3 linked regions of the Callithrix jacchus genome follow. Each later gene encodes a partner of the first gene's protein in a complex. Links are inferred from orthologs where the notes say so. Each region holds a gene or a part of one and is shown in the gene's direction. Other genes may lie near its edges. The genes, in order: TAF3, TAF9 and TBP.

Evidence for each region.
Region 2: TAF3 (region 1) and TAF9 share a complex: the UniProt entries of both Homo sapiens proteins name them as parts of the TFIID basal transcription factor complex. The link is inferred for Callithrix jacchus from reciprocal best matches to the Homo sapiens genes TAF3 and TAF9.
Region 3: TAF3 (region 1) and TBP share a complex: the UniProt entries of both Homo sapiens proteins name them as parts of the TFIID basal transcription factor complex. The link is inferred for Callithrix jacchus from reciprocal best matches to the Homo sapiens genes TAF3 and TBP.

What each region holds. Positions count from the first base shown.
Region 1 is NC_133508.1:6,117,661-6,122,993, reverse strand, and holds the start of TAF3 (transcription initiation factor TFIID subunit 3), read left to right. Parts: upstream 1-1,960; 5' UTR 1,961-2,165; coding exon 2,166-2,331; intron 2,332-2,824; exon of another isoform or gene 2,825-2,918; coding exon of another isoform or gene 2,919-3,012; intron 3,013-5,333. UniProt on the Homo sapiens protein: The TFIID basal transcription factor complex plays a major role in the initiation of RNA polymerase II (Pol II)-dependent transcription.
Region 2 is NC_133503.1:140,123,388-140,128,520, forward strand, and holds the start of TAF9 (transcription initiation factor TFIID subunit 9), read left to right. Parts: upstream 1-1,837; 5' UTR 1,838-1,907; exon of another isoform or gene 1,908-2,074; coding exon of another isoform or gene 2,075-2,324; intron 2,325-3,989; exon of another isoform or gene 3,990-4,064; intron 4,065-4,582; coding exon of another isoform or gene 4,583-4,675; intron 4,676-5,133. Other genes in the region: cell cycle checkpoint protein RAD17, read right to left, coding at 320-423, 710-719; AK6 (adenylate kinase isoenzyme 6), read left to right, coding at 2,075-2,324, 4,583-4,675. UniProt on the Homo sapiens protein: The TFIID basal transcription factor complex plays a major role in the initiation of RNA polymerase II (Pol II)-dependent transcription.
Region 3 is NC_133505.1:177,177,521-177,182,702, forward strand, and holds the start of TBP (TATA-box-binding protein), read left to right. Parts: upstream 1-1,658; 5' UTR 1,659-1,753; intron 1,754-1,907; exon of another isoform or gene 1,908-2,274; intron 2,275-4,150; exon of another isoform or gene 4,151-4,153; 5' UTR 4,154-4,301; coding exon 4,302-4,355; intron 4,356-5,182. Other genes in the region: PSMB1 (proteasome subunit beta type-1), read right to left, coding at 514-626. UniProt on the Homo sapiens protein: The TFIID basal transcription factor complex plays a major role in the initiation of RNA polymerase II (Pol II)-dependent transcription.

The sequences.
Region 1 (5,333 bases):
AGTTCCTTTGCCTACTTTCCCAGGCAGCCCTCATGCAGTGGCCTGTTTCCTATGTGAATAGAAAGGTCCAGCCTTCTTGTTTGGATTCAGGGAAGCTCTGAGGGTCCACTCCAGCTTGAGTGCCCTACGGGATTGGCTTGGCCGAGGCTTCCCTTGCCCAGGCACTCACTGCACCTTGCTTTCACTCCTCCCCCCAGGTCCCAGGAGGACTCCTCAATGAACTTTCTGCAGGCTCATCTCTATTTCGGAGTTGACTTCCTGGGAACCAAGCCTGTGACACATGATCATGTGTGTAGATATGTGAGGGAATGTTCTTGTTTTGGGGTGATCCAAGTTGAGGTGTGGTGAGGTTAAATGTTATGAAGTTTGCAGCTTACTTTCGAACTGCTGGAAAAAAACTTGTGTGCATATATAAAGACACAAGATAGAGTAAATGTGGCAAAATGTTAACAATTGGCGAATCTAGATGAAGTGTATACCTGAGTCTGTGATTTTGTTTCAACTTCTCTGTAGGTTTGAAATTTTTGGAAATAAAATCCCCTCCCCTATACACAGAAAGGCAAGTGAAGAGGAACAAACATCCAGGTGGTGGTGGCAGAGAGACAGATGTGTGAAATCCAAGGCCCAAAAGAGTTTGAAAGTTATGGTAGTGTTCAACATTATCAAATGGCTACAAAATAATCAAGTAAGGCTAGGACTGAAAAATGTCTCACAGATTTAGCAACAAAATGTTGCTGATAACTTGGGGACAGAGTGTCCATGAAGTAAATACGGGCACCTTGCCATATAGTACCTTGCTTCTCTGCAGATCGCCATTTAACTGAAGAACCATAATTTCACTCCTACTGCGTTTCCCAGACTTTCGAAAATTTGAGTATCATGTTCAAAGTTCTGGAATAGTCCCTGGAGGAGGAACATAGAGCCACTGATAAACTCTTATACTAAATACACTGTGATAGGTACAGAAAGGCATATTTAAGAAACCACATAGTTCAGCCACTACAATCGAGCTATCGGCAGGCTGAATCTAGACTTGCGGTGGGATCAGTTTGGTTTTTGAGATGTGTTCCCAATTCTGAATTTAAAAGTCAAGGTATTTATCCCCAAATCCCGATTTCTGGCAATATTTGGCTGGAGCTGGGAGGAGGCTCTGGGATAGGCAACCGTTCCCAGGACACTCAGCCTGAGATACGGGTTTGAGGCTCTGGTTTGACCTCTGGAGGTAGCCGAGGTCCCCATCCCCCTACAGGCCACAGCCGCGATACGCAAATCGCACACTACAGCCCACAGGGAGCTCACCTGGTTTGAAAAAAAAAAACGTTTTATTGCAACCATGGCTGGGATTAGAATGACATGAGTGAGGCAGGAGTTTATGGCATGGGTTTGGATTTTTAAAAAAACTATTAAAATATTATCCATCTTGATGACTGAGTTTTCTGGGGGGCCCATTAATTTGGCACAGAGGCCTCCTCCTAGTCCCCGCCCTACTGCGAAGGGCTTTAAAGGGCATGCGGAACAGCTTGGGCTTTATTTAATCTGTGCAGTGGCAAGCAGCTCAGTACACAGATTTTTAGCAGAAGTAAGACCAGCGCAGGTCTGCGTTTGGCGAGCATCTTAAATTCCCACGCCCCAAACTTCTCTCTAGCACTTAACCCTCTAACATGACTAACGTTATTAATGCTAACTCTCTAACATGTCAATGTCGTATCCCAGATCCCTCGTTTGCCCCTAAAACACGGGCGTTTTTGTCCCCGCTCTCCCCCCAGGTGAGCGCCCCTGGGAAGCACCCCAGCACCTGTCACCCATGGCGCCTCCTCCACCTGCGCTCCGCAATCCCGCTTCCGGCCGGCTTCCAGGCCTCAGAGACGATCCCGAGGCGTCGCTCCGCTCCCACGGGGCGGAGCTTTCTCATCGGCGCGCTCGGCATTCGGCTCGTGCTGCCTCGCTCCGGCGGCCGTCCAGCGAGAGGCGGAGCGAGTCCAAAATGGCGGCTCTCAGGCTGGCGCGCTCCGCGCTGCTGGGGCTTTGAGGTGGTCGCCGGGGGTCCGTGGGACCATTATCCCGCCGCCGAAGCCCTAGAGGATGAATCGGGGGCCCTGCTAAGGTCTGGCGGCGGGGCTGGAGAGCAGTGGCAGCAAGGGCTGCGGTGGCGTCCACGCAGCGGGATGTGCGAGAGTTACTCCAGGTCGTTGTTGAGGGTCTCGGTGGCGCAGATCTGCCAGGCGCTGGGCTGGGACTCGGTGCAGCTCAGCGCCTGCCACCTCCTCACGGACGTGCTGCAGCGCTATCTGCAGCAGCTGGGCCGGGGCTGCCATCGGTACTCTGAGCTCTGTGAGTACCGGGCTGGGTTCGGGAGGGCTGCCCCGGCAAGTCAAGGGTGACACCTCCGCTCTCCCTGCCCCTCCGCGTCTCCGGTGTGTGCGTCCCGCACCCTGCCTCGAGATCTGCTGTCTCCTCGGCCTCCCACGTCCCTGGGCTTCCACTGACCCTGCAAACTCTAGTCATCCCTGGGGTGCCTCTTCCTCATCCGCTAACTTCCCGCCACCAGCCCGGGAGCCGAGTCTTCGCTCCCAGCTCCACACCCTCCTGCAGCTCCTCCGCTCTGAAATGTGCCTGGATCTCTCTCATTGTCTCCTGTTTGCTGCGGGCAGATCCACCCCCAGCGTGCCTTACACCCTCTTTTACCTCGGTCCTTTTTCTCCCTTGCCCGCAAACTACTACAACTAGTTGTCACAGGCGCTCCGTCTACCGGCCGTTTCTTACAAGACTGGCCATTCCTGAGCTCCTAACTACACAGACTCGTTGACAGCTCTGCTCCGTTAGGGACACTGCCTCTTCTTTCTGTGTCTGTTCGTTTCGTGAACAACATCTCCACTTTCTGTTTTCCCAAGGCTGACTTTGTCAGTTTCGCTGATCAGATGCACTTTCACTTAACGTCTCAGTTACCGGTGAGATGTCAGTGGTTATCAAAGCGGGATAGAGGGACCATGGGCAGTTGGCGAGATTCTCCAGGTAATCTGGGCTACAGTACTACTTAAAACCTGTACAGTACAGTACGGGTTTTAAGTGAATGTCTGGTAATATCTATAGCTAGTGGTATTTAATAATTTAATGGAAGAAATGGTATTTTAATAGAAGCTACACGTTATCTTGTTGATGTGAAGCATTGCATGTGTGTTTGTTGAGGAGAGGAAACTACCACTCACTGAAGTTTCAAGTCATGATGTTTAAGGTGATAAGCTGGAGAACTGAATGAAGTGTTTCATAGGATACTTTGTTTTGTTAAAGTGGTTCCTAGACTGAAAAATGGAGACCCACAGACATGTTGTATCGCTTAGGCCCCGAGTTTCATTCCTGCTTCCACAGGGCTGCCAAAATAATCTGTCCACAACACAAATCTGATTTTGTCATTATTCTTAAAAACATTTTAACTGTATTCTATTGGTTACAGGCTAAAAATCTAAACTGTTAACAGCACACATTTCCCTTTGTGAGCTAGCATCTTGCTTATCTTTTGCCAGCCTGCCATGCTAATCTGGAGCCATGCTGAGCTACTTGCCTTTTCCAGAATGTTTTAGGCTATCCATTTCTACGTGCATGCTGTTTTCTACTTAGAGTGTCCTTTGCCCTGGCCCAGTAGTACTGCTTTTATTTTGAGATGTACTTATCACTTGCTCTAGGGACCTCATGTTATCTGCTTTCATAATTCTGTGCATATTTCTTTCATTTGTCATCTTGTTTTGTAATCACCTGTGTATGTCTCTTTCACCTCTCAGGAGAAAAATTGATTATATTTGTATTCTGTAACCTGTGGGGCCATTCTATAATAGCTACCTGAGAAATATTTGTTGAGTGAATGAATGAACTGATAAACCACTACCATAAGAGCCACATATTGACTTCACATTTTGAGTTCCAAAAATGTGTATGCTTTGAGTGCTTGATTTCACTGAGACTTCTATTCTTCTTCTTTTGAGACAGGATCTCACTCTGTCCCCCAGCGTGGAGTGCAGTGGTGCGATCTTAGCTCTCTATGGCCTCGAACTTCGGGGCTCAAGTGATCCTCCTGCCTCAGCCTTCCAAGTAGCTGGGACCACAGGGACATGCCTCCATGCCCAGCTAATTTTTTTATTTTTTGTAGATATGTGGTCTGGTTATATTGCCCAGGCTGGTGTCAAACTCCTCAGCTCAAGTGATCCTCCTGCCTCAGTGTGTCAAAGTGCTTGGATTACAGGCCTGAACCATGCCTAACTCACTGATACATATAAATTTGGAACTGCAAAGTAATATGCATGCATTTTTATCTTGAAAGTACATCAGCAGCTGACTACTCTCCTAGCTTTTGTTTCTTTTTCCTCTGGCCTGCTCTGCCATGGTCCTTGAGTGTACTGTTAACTGATAGGCTGGGCGAGGCGTAGTTCAGATTATGTTTGCTACCAAGTTCTCTACATAGGGACAGATGTTCTGTATCTTTAGACATTCAAAATGTCTCCTGAATACAGAGTTACCTTTCTTGCCTTTTATACAGAAGGGAGCTGGCACTCCATGTGACTAAGTATTCCATAGTCATCAAGGGGTCATTGCAGCTCTTCATTGTAAACCTTGTTCCTAATTACCTAATTTCCGTAGCCAGTTTCTTGGTTTCAGTGAGAATGAGATTGTCAACTTCATTATTCCCCATGATGATTTGGTGACTTTTTTTTGAATGCTAATTTTGGTATACTTATTAGATATTTTTAGATTCGTTTTTCTATACCAGCCTTATTCTAAAATCAAATTCTATAGCTCCAGGTTACCACTATGCAGTTTTGTATTCTACTCCTTTACGTCCTTTCTGTCGTTTTAACAAACACTTACTGAGCACCACTTAGGAACCAACCCCTGTGCTAGGCATTGGAGACATAAAATTACTGAGATGCAGTCCCTGCCCGTAAGGTGTGTTCAAGAGTGCCAGAATGTCAGTAAAAACAAACTGATGTGGCTGTTTCTGCTAGAAGAAATGTTCACGAGTGAAAGCAAGTATTAGAAGTTACCATTAATTCAACAATAATGAACTTTAGACTTGCCCTAAGGTAACAGTTTCTCCCAGCATTCAGGGGCGGATGTCTCTGTCTGTGTCACATTGCGTGTTAGACACGTGCGCATGCACTGAAAGCAGCTGCTCAGTCTTTCAGACTGGCTGTTCAACACTAGTGCCGTCATAGTTTTTGCATGGTACAGGGAGTAAATGTAAGAGGAGTAAGAGGAGAGATGCTTGTAGGCTATGGACTGGGGTAGGATTACTTCACAGAAAAGATAAGATTTGAGTTGAGCTATGACGTATGGCTGTGTAA
Region 2 (5,133 bases), on another chromosome or scaffold:
ATCACATTACTTCTAAGAAGCAGGGCTTTTGATTAAACTGTAACACCAAATACCACTCATATTTCTCTCTTCTATGTTCTTTCATTCAAATGTTTTCAGTCTTTTCTTTGTGACTGGGACTGTAAACACTTTCAAAATTAAGGTTGTGCTTTTAGAGAACACTTGTTTCACAACTTATTACCAGATTTGCATAAACCACTAATTACAATAGATACTGGGCTCTATTACTTTGATAGCAGTAATAAGTTATTAAGAATGTATATAAAAATTTATAGTTATTTTAAGGCAATTATTTCACGGCCATTCTAGTGTATCATACCTTTGTGGAAGATACCTTTGGTCTAAGAAAAGTTTTTGACATTATAAACTGTAACAGTTCCCATCCGTAGTATAGGACCAGTAATACATTAAACTCTAATTCACCTAGGGGAAAAAAAAAGAAGCCCTCAAATGAAAAAGAACTGTAAATACAGAATTATAGTTATAAATGTATACTGATACAATCAACAACACAATAAAGGCTCAATAATTAGTGAAAACAGTCAATTTAAGTGATACAGGAAATCAAAATTCTAAAATAATTTTACTTTTAATGACTATAACTGGATAAATAAACTACTTGTGGTGTTACAAACGGAGTTTTTCACATGAACTCAATGACGTATTTGAGAAAAACAGAAAAAAAAAATTCACAAACTGTTCTACTTACCTTTTGTCATTAAAATCAGGCAATTCTATTTGAGTAGTTTATATACTGAAAATTAAAGTTTTCCTTATTTCAAATTACAGTTGCAGTTCTTCATTTCCAACATTTCCCAAAAAATAAAATACAATGAATTCACTTGCTGTGGACAAAGAATTTAAATCTTACTGTAAAACTGTTTTCATTTGATCATGTTATTAGAAAATTTCTTAGTAACACTGTTTTTCAATTGTGTTTTCAAATTCTTAAACCTTTATGCAAACTAGTGAATTCAACAATTTTAAGTTAGCCAGAAGAGAATTTTAATGCCTACAAATTTATACACTGGAAAGTATACTGAACTATTTTACAGTTTGGAGCACACATCGCCTATAAACACCCCTACGTACTAGAAAACAAATTGCTGGCCTTTCGTCCCAAATCGTTCACGGTTAGACTTTGACGTTTCAAATGGTACACAGTTGGTAAAAAAACAAACAAAACATTTGAGTAAATATAGTTTGTAGCTCGAAATAAAAGATGCAGACTGTTGTCACCGTCAGGACTCTATTCACTCTTTGAAAACAAGATTGACAATTACCTCCTTTTAAAAGCAGGTAACTGTCCCTGAAGATGCCAGATTCCTGAAATGAGATGTCAGAGGTAGACCTTCAAGACTATTCCTAGCCGACCCACCACCACCCCACACAGTGAACAGGGAATACTAAGGTCAAATATTCGTCCAACGTAATCCTGTAATCAGTAGGGTGCCGGGTTGAGCTCGCAAATCCCCGCTGCAGGACTGGGCTCTGCACCCTCAATCTTCTCATCCCCAGATGGGACGGGCGGGTCAGGAGGAGGAGCGACGAGAGCCCAAGAAGGCTTGAAGGCAAAGATAGACTCGCGTCTCTAAGACATATACATATTATAGCGGCAGCCGCGGCGGCCTTACGTTCCCGGAGCTGCATTCCCTTTTCGGCGAAGAGCGGAGGCGAACAGGATCTACCCCGAGTGAAAGGGTAGCCACCTGGCCGTATCCGGGCCTCTCTGAGGTACGGCCTCCCGGGGACCTTTCAAAATGGTCGGCGCATCCGCGACGCAACCGAAGGGCGGGGCCCGCCGGAGTGTGTGACTTAGGCATCCAGCGCACTGCCTGACCCGAAGCACCGACCCGAGTTATGCCCACCCTTCAACTTTGCGATGGAAACGTGTTAGGGAAAGCTAGGTAACTAGTGGGCCGCAGCTGGGCCGCCGGGGCAGGCCGGGGACGCCGCGGTGGGCCTGGAGGTCCTTGGGGCCCGTGGGCTCTCACTGCCGCCCGCCCCTTCCGGCTCCTCCCCGTAGTGCAAAGGGCGCTTGAGCGAGGTGATCGGAGCAGTTGCAGCGAGGACCATGTTGCTTCCGAACATCCTGCTCACCGGTCAGGGCGCGCGGCCGGGAGGGGCTGGGAGGGGGCAGGCGAGGTTTGCGGAGTGCTCTGGGCCTCGGGCCCCGCTCAGTGTTCTGTTTGGAGGCCTCCCGAGGGCCGCGAGGCGGCTGCAGCGCCCCGGGAGCCGACCCTCACGGGCTTGGCAGGAGGTGGGGGAGGGGATGCGGAACGTTAATTCCGGTGGCCCGAGACTTCCGGGGGAGGAGGAGAGAGGTCGGCAGATCAGCTCTCCTGCTTGGCAGTCTGCTTAGTCTTTCTGAATCTGGTATTTTGTGTGTAAAATGGGTTGTTGATTCTTTGGCAGGGTTGGCTTTGGGATTTTTAGCGAAATAGTGTAAGGTCACATCTGTTCTCCAGTAGAGCCATTAATGGTGGAGGCCTCACTCCTTAGGCCTCCCTGGGCCATATTTTATTTTTTCCTTTGCTCCTCAGATCAGATTTCGGGAAATGACTTTAGATGTTTGTGGTGTGACTAAATTACTGTATGCCTTTGTTGAGTTACATCAGAGGTTCTCCCCAGCCCCTTAAAGGAGAGGAATCTAGTGAGCATTTCGGGTCGTTTCTCGCGTAGGAGTGGGTCTTTGAAGCCATACTCAGGGTGCGTGTTACCGGTGAAGGAACTAAAATGCTGCTGCGTAACGACTTCATCGAATATTTTAGTCCTTAAAGTGTTTATTAAATTGTAGACCATTCGTGGAAAAATCTAATGCATGTAGATTTTATTGGAACGTACCGAAAAATTAAGAGTCGGTGGAAATAAAGCAGTAAAGTTACAGCGTTCATCTAAACATAAGATGATTTGCAGCGCACAAGACATGTCTGTTTCTGAGAGGTGCCGATTAACCAGGCCACAAATAATGTTTAGCATTTAAGATTTCTTAAGTGGAAGATATCACATCTTTTTGCATGGATCAAACATAGTGCCTTGGTTATTAATATTGTGTCATTGTCAAAACTTTAAAGTGAGCATTTTATTGAAAACATAATTGAGTCCAGGGTTCAGACTTGGTGAATTATAGTGGACTTGAGGTAACTGTTAATCTCTTCCGTGTGGGAACTGGATTATCCCTGTTATCTTTATGCTCAAGTTTAATTTCAGGGATGTTAAACCTGAATAGCTGAAAATTACAAATTTGATCTTGAAGTGTAATTATAATAGGTATCAAAAGGGGAAGGTAAGAAGCAATGTATAGTATGTAGTATTGTCATTTATGTAAAAGGGAATATATGTTGTATTTATGTATGTATATACAAAGTATGTATATACATGTACATTCATATGCAACATAAATAGGGTTTCTCTGGGAAGATATACATGTATGGGAAACTGGTTCACAGTGGTTGTCTCTAGGGAAGGGTGCAAGGGGTAAGACTGCTTACATTTTAACATGAACAGTTTTTGTTTTTGTTTTGGGACAGTCTCATTATGTTGCCGGGGCTGGTCTCGAACTCCTGAGCTTAAGCAATCCCCCTGCCTTGGCCTCCCAAATTGCTGGGATTACAGGCATGAGCCACCACACCTGGCTATGAACAGTTTCTTAATCTATTTAAATTAAAGCAAATATGCCGGATGGGTGGCTCATGCCTGTAATCCCAGTACTTTGGGAGAGGGAGGTGGGCAGATTGCTTGAGCTCAGCCTAGGCAACATAGCGAAACCCCATCTACAAAAATTAACCAGGGCATGGTGGTACACACTATGGCCTCGTCAACTGGACATGCTGAGATGGGAGGATTGCTTGAGCCCGGGAGGTTAAGGCTGCAGTGAGCCAAGTGCCACTGCACTCCACCTGAGCAACAAAGAGATATCTTGTCTTTAAAAAAAAAAAGTAAATAAATGACTGTAATTGATTTGAGGTGGTTAATTTTATTCTGAACAGTTCCATGGTAGTAGCAGGCAGTTTGAATCTGCGACAGAATCTGCTGAGCCTCACCCTTGAAGGATCAATAACTGGGTAATATTTTGACATTCAGTTAGCTTTGGAAAATTTTTATTAGATCATAGACATATTGAGGTGGCTCATGCCTGTAATTCCAGCACTTTGGGAGGCTGAGGTGGGCGGATCACCTGAGGTCAGGAGTTCGAGACCAGCCTGGCCAATATGGGGAAACCTCGTCTCTAAAAATTCAAAGATTATTAGCTGGGTGTGGTGGCAGATGCCTGTAATTCCAGCCACTCAGGAGACTGAGGCAGGAGAATCACTTGAATCTGGGAGGTGGAGGTTGCAGTGAGTTGAGATTTTGCCACTGCATTCCAGCCTGGGTGACAAGAAGGAAACTCCATCTCAAAAAAAAAAACTTACATATGATTGCTAATTAGAAGATTTTTCATTTCATTCATTGAGAACCTTAAGGGCAGAGACCAGGGGAGACTCTGTCTCAAAAAAAAAAAAAAAAAAAAAGGGCAGAAGGTGGGCTACAGTGTGATGAGTAGTATTTCACAAACAATATTTTTCTGTGGCTTATCTTACAGGTACACCAGGGGTTGGAAAAACCACACTAGGCAAAGAACTTGCATCAAAATCAGGACTGAAATACATTAATGTGGGTGATTTAGCTCGAGAAGGTAAGGGACACTTTGATGTTAGATTTATTATTATTATTTTTTAAAGTCTGATAGCGGAGTGTTAGTGCTAGGTATTGTCAGAGGGTACAAAAAACAGCTTGCCATTAAAGAATATATACTCTTAGGTAATCCACAGAAATATTAAGTGTCTAATGCTATGTCCTGGTTATTTTGACCATTTTCCCTTCTGTCTTCAAAATGGCTAGCAATTCTTGTGAATTGTTGGGAAGGCTCCTATGAAGAGACTGGATTTAGGATAGGTAGAATGTGAATAAGGAGAATGTTTTTAAGTTGAGCAAACAAAGGTTTGGTACTGCTAAACATGTATATGAGCACAGTGAGTGTATTGGTCTCACTGGAAGGAGATTATTTTGAGTTCAGGCATAGGACATGACTATGCTATCTTAGATTAGTTTGAGATTTGCATGCAACTGCATATATTGTAAGATGATAGATGT
Region 3 (5,182 bases), on another chromosome or scaffold:
TTAGAGATAACGGAAGTCAGGCAGCTACAATGAGACGTTCCCTACCGACACAACTATGCATCTAACAACACAGACCAAACAATCCTAACTTTTTAGTTTCAGACGCTAGACCTCTGTCCTCGCCTGCTGGCTTAAGAAACGTGTTCAGACTCTGCGAAAAGCTAAGATAGTTTTAAAGGTCTTCCATATGGGCGGAAGCTGTCGACCGTCTTACAGCAGCAAGGAGCATGGAGTGGCGGTCCGCACAGACCCAGCCAACCAGGCGGTAATGGGAAACCCTAAAAACCGAGGCTGTATCGCAATCACCAAGTAAACCAGAGCAAAGCGAGCCTAAAGGGGGAAACAGCGCAAGAGAGGACGGCAGGAAGACCGGCCTTGTGCGGACCCACTCAGCTCAGGGTTCTGAGGCCTGCAGGGGATCTGGGCAGCGCCTTCGCGGCGGTGACCCCCAAATAGGCTTCAGCAGATGGGGGGAGGGCGAAAGTGAAAGCTGCGGCTCTCAAGGGTTTTTACCCTCCGTTGAAAGCGTAGGGCGAAAATCGTAGCTGCAGAGGTCCCGCAGCTCTGTGCGGCTCCATTCCCAGCTCTCTGCCAGGACCCGAATACATGGCTGTAGAGGACAACATCTCACTGAAGCGCCCGCAACTCCGGCCGCTACTCCTGCTGCCTCACGGCGAGATGGCCGCCCTGACCGGACGTTACGCCACTTCCGGCTTTCCTGTAACTCGCTCCCGGCCTCTCTATCTCGCACTAGTCGTTGCTCCTGGAGGGCTGCTCTGCCGCTAGTCCCTTTCATAGTTGGGTCCTGCCCATTACCAGAAAGATATTAAGGTTTTTGTTTTTTGTTTTTCCCCCGAAGAAAAGATTGGAATTCACCCATATGGACAAAATTTTAAAAGTCTGACCGTGCAAAAATTTGCCAAAACTGTGGAGCAACGGCAACTGGAATAATAGTAACAGCCTAAATTGTCCTGGCTAATACAAAATGTATGTAACATTTCCTATCCTTAAAGAGCTCACAACCTCACTGATAATAGAAAGTCCAAAGGAAACAAGCGGTATAATATATGATTCCGCCAAAACGAACTATAGAAGGTAAAATAAAGGCGTGCTGACGTCCCACTAGGAAACAACTGCGGATCGAGCCTTTGACCACAGTGCCTGAAGCGGCTTGTGTTTTGCTTAGTGTTCCTAGTCATTCTACACGCTTGAAGATCAGCTAGCGTTGTTGCTGACAGGTAAGGAGCACGCGCTTACTGAGTGCCAGGCACTGCTCAGGCATTGACTGTCAGTCTCCAGAGAGCCCAAAGTTAAGCACTAGTATCATCATTATTAAATTTTACAGAAGAAACTGCGGGGAAGAAGTCAGGGAACTTGCCAACGGTAACGCCTCTAGTTGCTTGAAACACACACACCATTTAAAAATTGATCTTTCCTATGCCCAGCAAGGGCCAATTAGAGACAGCGGTGGTGCGCCCGCCCAGTCCCGGAACTCCTCAAGAGCTTCGCCCCTCCTTCCCTTAAACTACACGCCTACGGAAACACAGGAAGTGAGCAAGTGCCCACACTTCGCATGGCCACGACCCCAGTGAGAACAATTCGCTGAAGCCGAGGGCAGAACTGGCGGAAGTGACATTATCAACGCGCGCCTGGAGTTCAGTGGGGTCGGGCAGGGTTCCTGTGGCGGGCGCCTGGGCCGCCGGCTGTTTAACTTCGTTTCCGCGGGCTCATAGTAATTTCTGCAGTGACCCAGGTAACAGCTTGTCCTCTTTTCTGAGGGTTCGGGCGGAGGCGACCACTGCATTGAGGCCTGGGGGCGATGGTGGGGAAGAGACAAGGAATTGGCGCGCGCAGGCCCTGCAGGGGACGTTCCTCCCGCTCGTGCTGCCGCCGTTCCGGCCTGTAACGGCCACTCGGCCGCCGCTTTCGCCTGGTGCCCTATTCCGCTGTGGTTCGCAAGCGGCTTCCCGTCATACGAGCGTGGGGCGCAGGGTACTGGCGGGCTCGGCGGCGGCGGGCGGGACAGGGCAATCCCTTGCATCGAAGACCCGAAGTTTATTCTGCCCTGGCCTGCCACCCGCTTCTTCTCCATGTTTGAAGGCAGATTCACTGTGGTCTGTGCCCGCCTATTTTGCTACCAACATTGAGACTTAAATACTTTGTCAGAAGCCTGAGACAGCGGACACAGTAGCGCTTAAGATACAGTACACATCACTTTGTTTACAGGGCCTCCCATCTCTCGGTTCAGGCCATCATGGTTTTCCAAATCTCTAGGTAGGCTTTTCTGTGAAAAGACTATGCTTCATTTAGATATACAGACACTAGAAGGCTATGCAGAGTTAGATTGCCTCCAAAAAATATCGAATTTGATGTTTCAATTTCGAAGAGATGAAGAGACCCAGCAAACAACCCTTTTCTAGGGAGAAAGTGCAGTAACCACTGTGCGGTTTCTTCTGTAGACTTACGTGCAAAAAGTGATAAGAGCCTACCAATATTTGCCGTCTCATCTCCTGTAGTGACCTATACAGTCATACTAAGCTTGTCACCTTCATACGGCATGCTTTTTCAATGTTACCTCGTTTATCTGAAGCCCTGACCTGTAAATTCCTATTCACCTTGTGAGACCCAAGTTAGATGGTCCTTGTTTTGTGAAAACACTGCCCCTCTTCATAGTAGTGTGCTGTTAGTCTATATGTCTTCTCTTCCAGGGGCATATATGCACTTATTCATGATCACATACTGTATTCCAGGCATAGTGCTAGATGCAGGGATGACAAAGACTGGTTTCTACATTCAAGAAACTTAGCTGGCCGGGCGCGGTGGCTCACGCCTGTAATCCCAGCACTTTGGGAGGCCGAGGCGGGTGAATCACGAGGTCAAGAGATCGAGACCATCCTGGTCAACATGGTGAAACCCCGTCTCTACTAAAAATACAAAAAGTTAGTTGGGCGTGGTGGCGTGTGTCTGTAATCCCAGCTACTCAGGAGGCTGAGGCAGAAGAATTGCCTGAACCCAGGAGGCGGAGGTTGCGGTGAGCCGAGATCGTGCCATTGCACTCCAGCCTGGGTAACAAGAGCGAAACTCCGTCTCAAAAAAAAAAAAAAAAAAAAAAAAAGAAACTTAGCTTAGGGCACACCTGCTATTATACTATGTTTTATAGTAATGATTTGCATACCCTTTATATTGAACATTTTGATGCCAAGGACTATAACCTCCTAATCTTTACATCCTCATCTGCATCACTTCTGTTATTGTTATTATACGGTAACTGTCAAAAAGTATAATTTTAAAAACATCTCTGATATTTTTATTTTCAGAAGCAGAGTTCGCTTGCTTTCTTTTTTGGCCATTTTTTCAGTGATGAGTAGGTAGGATACAGAGTCTGGGGGCCTTAGCCCTTTCAAAGCGATCCTCAGAATCTTTCATTCCTTCACAAATATCTGAGTGTCTATTGTGTACCAGCACATGCTTGAAGTGCATATGCCTGAAGGGTCTTTGGACATATAATTTGTAACTTTGAGACCTGAAGTTCTGGGTGAGAATATGTTGTTATTATAAACTCATTTCAGATATGGACATGAGTAAAGAGATGATGATTTAAGAAAAGCCAGATAACAGGCACGGTTTGCATTAATGTGTTCTAAAGAGGTAAGGTTATTATTTACAAAAATGCAGGGTTTTATCTTTGTGCAGCTTTTTTTTTTAGTTTTATTATAGTAGGAGCTCAATAACTGATCACTGAAGTATATTTACTTAATTTTTTGCCCAAGACATTATAGAGGATATAAAATTGGAATAAAGATCTGAACTTTGCTTAACTGTGCTGTATATACAGTGCTTAACGAATACTCTGCTGTGATATTACAGTTTGCTTAGGAATTAGTTTCCTCTCAGTATTTTTCCTCAAAAGTTTTTGATGCATCATCATAGTATTTAAATGCGTAACAAAATGACTTTTGTTGGCGATTTTACATGTAATCACAGGAAACATGGAAGGAATAAGACTTCAGGATTATAAAGCAAAAGGCAATGTATTCCAAAATAGCTTCATTGGTTTTCTTGTTTGTGTTTTGTATAGCCATGGAACTGGCTTATAGGACTGTACAGGTTACCTGAATCCTTACATTAAACTTCAGGCTTTTTTCCAAAGCAGCATCACTGTCTCTTGGTGTGTGAAGATAACCCAAGGAATTGAGGAAGTTGCTGAGAAGAGTGTGCTGGAGATGCGCTAGGAAAAAATTGAATGGTGAGACAAGTTCCAGCCCAAGGGTTTCTGGTTTGCCAAGAAGGAAGTGAACATCATGGATCAGAACAACAGCCTGCCACCTTACGCTCAGGGCTTGGCCTCCCCTCAGGTAATACAGCAGGAGGAAGAGAATGAGAACAGGGAGGGCAGAAATATGTACTTCAAGAGATGGTATCAAAGGGAAGGAAGGGTATTTAATGATCTGTTTTTGAAAATGATTTTATATATATTTTTAAGCCTTATTTTGTTGAAACTTTCTATTAGGCTTTGAATTGGCACAATAGTGTTTTATTTGGGGAGTCTGTTTGGAAGCTAAATTAAATATTTGTTAATAAAACATTAATCTTTTGGTAAACACTTATGAGAATGTTCCAAATGATTATATAGGTTCTTTGATTTTGAAAATCACCGTCATCAAATTATTTTCTAGTTTTATTTTTCCCTTTTTACATTTCAAGCTCTCAACCACCCATCTACTTTAATAATTTTTCTGGCTAGGAGTGGTGGCTCACGCCTGTAATTCCAGCACTTTGGGGAGGCCAAGGTGGGCAGATCACCTGAGGTCAGGAGTTCGAGACCAGCCTGTTGATACCCCATCTTTACTAAATATTCAAAAATTAGTCAGGTGTGATGGCGGGTGCCTGTAATCCCAGTTACTCAGGGGGCTAAGGCAAGAAGAATTGCTTAAACCTGGGAGGCGAAGGTTGTAGTGAGCAGTGATCATGCCACTACACTCTAGCCTGGGGAACAGAGCAAGACTCGATCTCAACAAAAAAAAAAATCAGTAACTTCTGTTCAAATATAATTTGTATACAATAAAAATACTCATTTTAAATGTCAGTTGTTCTGATAATGTATGTACCTGTGTAAGTTAGGGAACATTTCAATTACCTTAGAAAGTCCTTTCTTCCCCTTTATAGTCACTTGGTTGGCCCT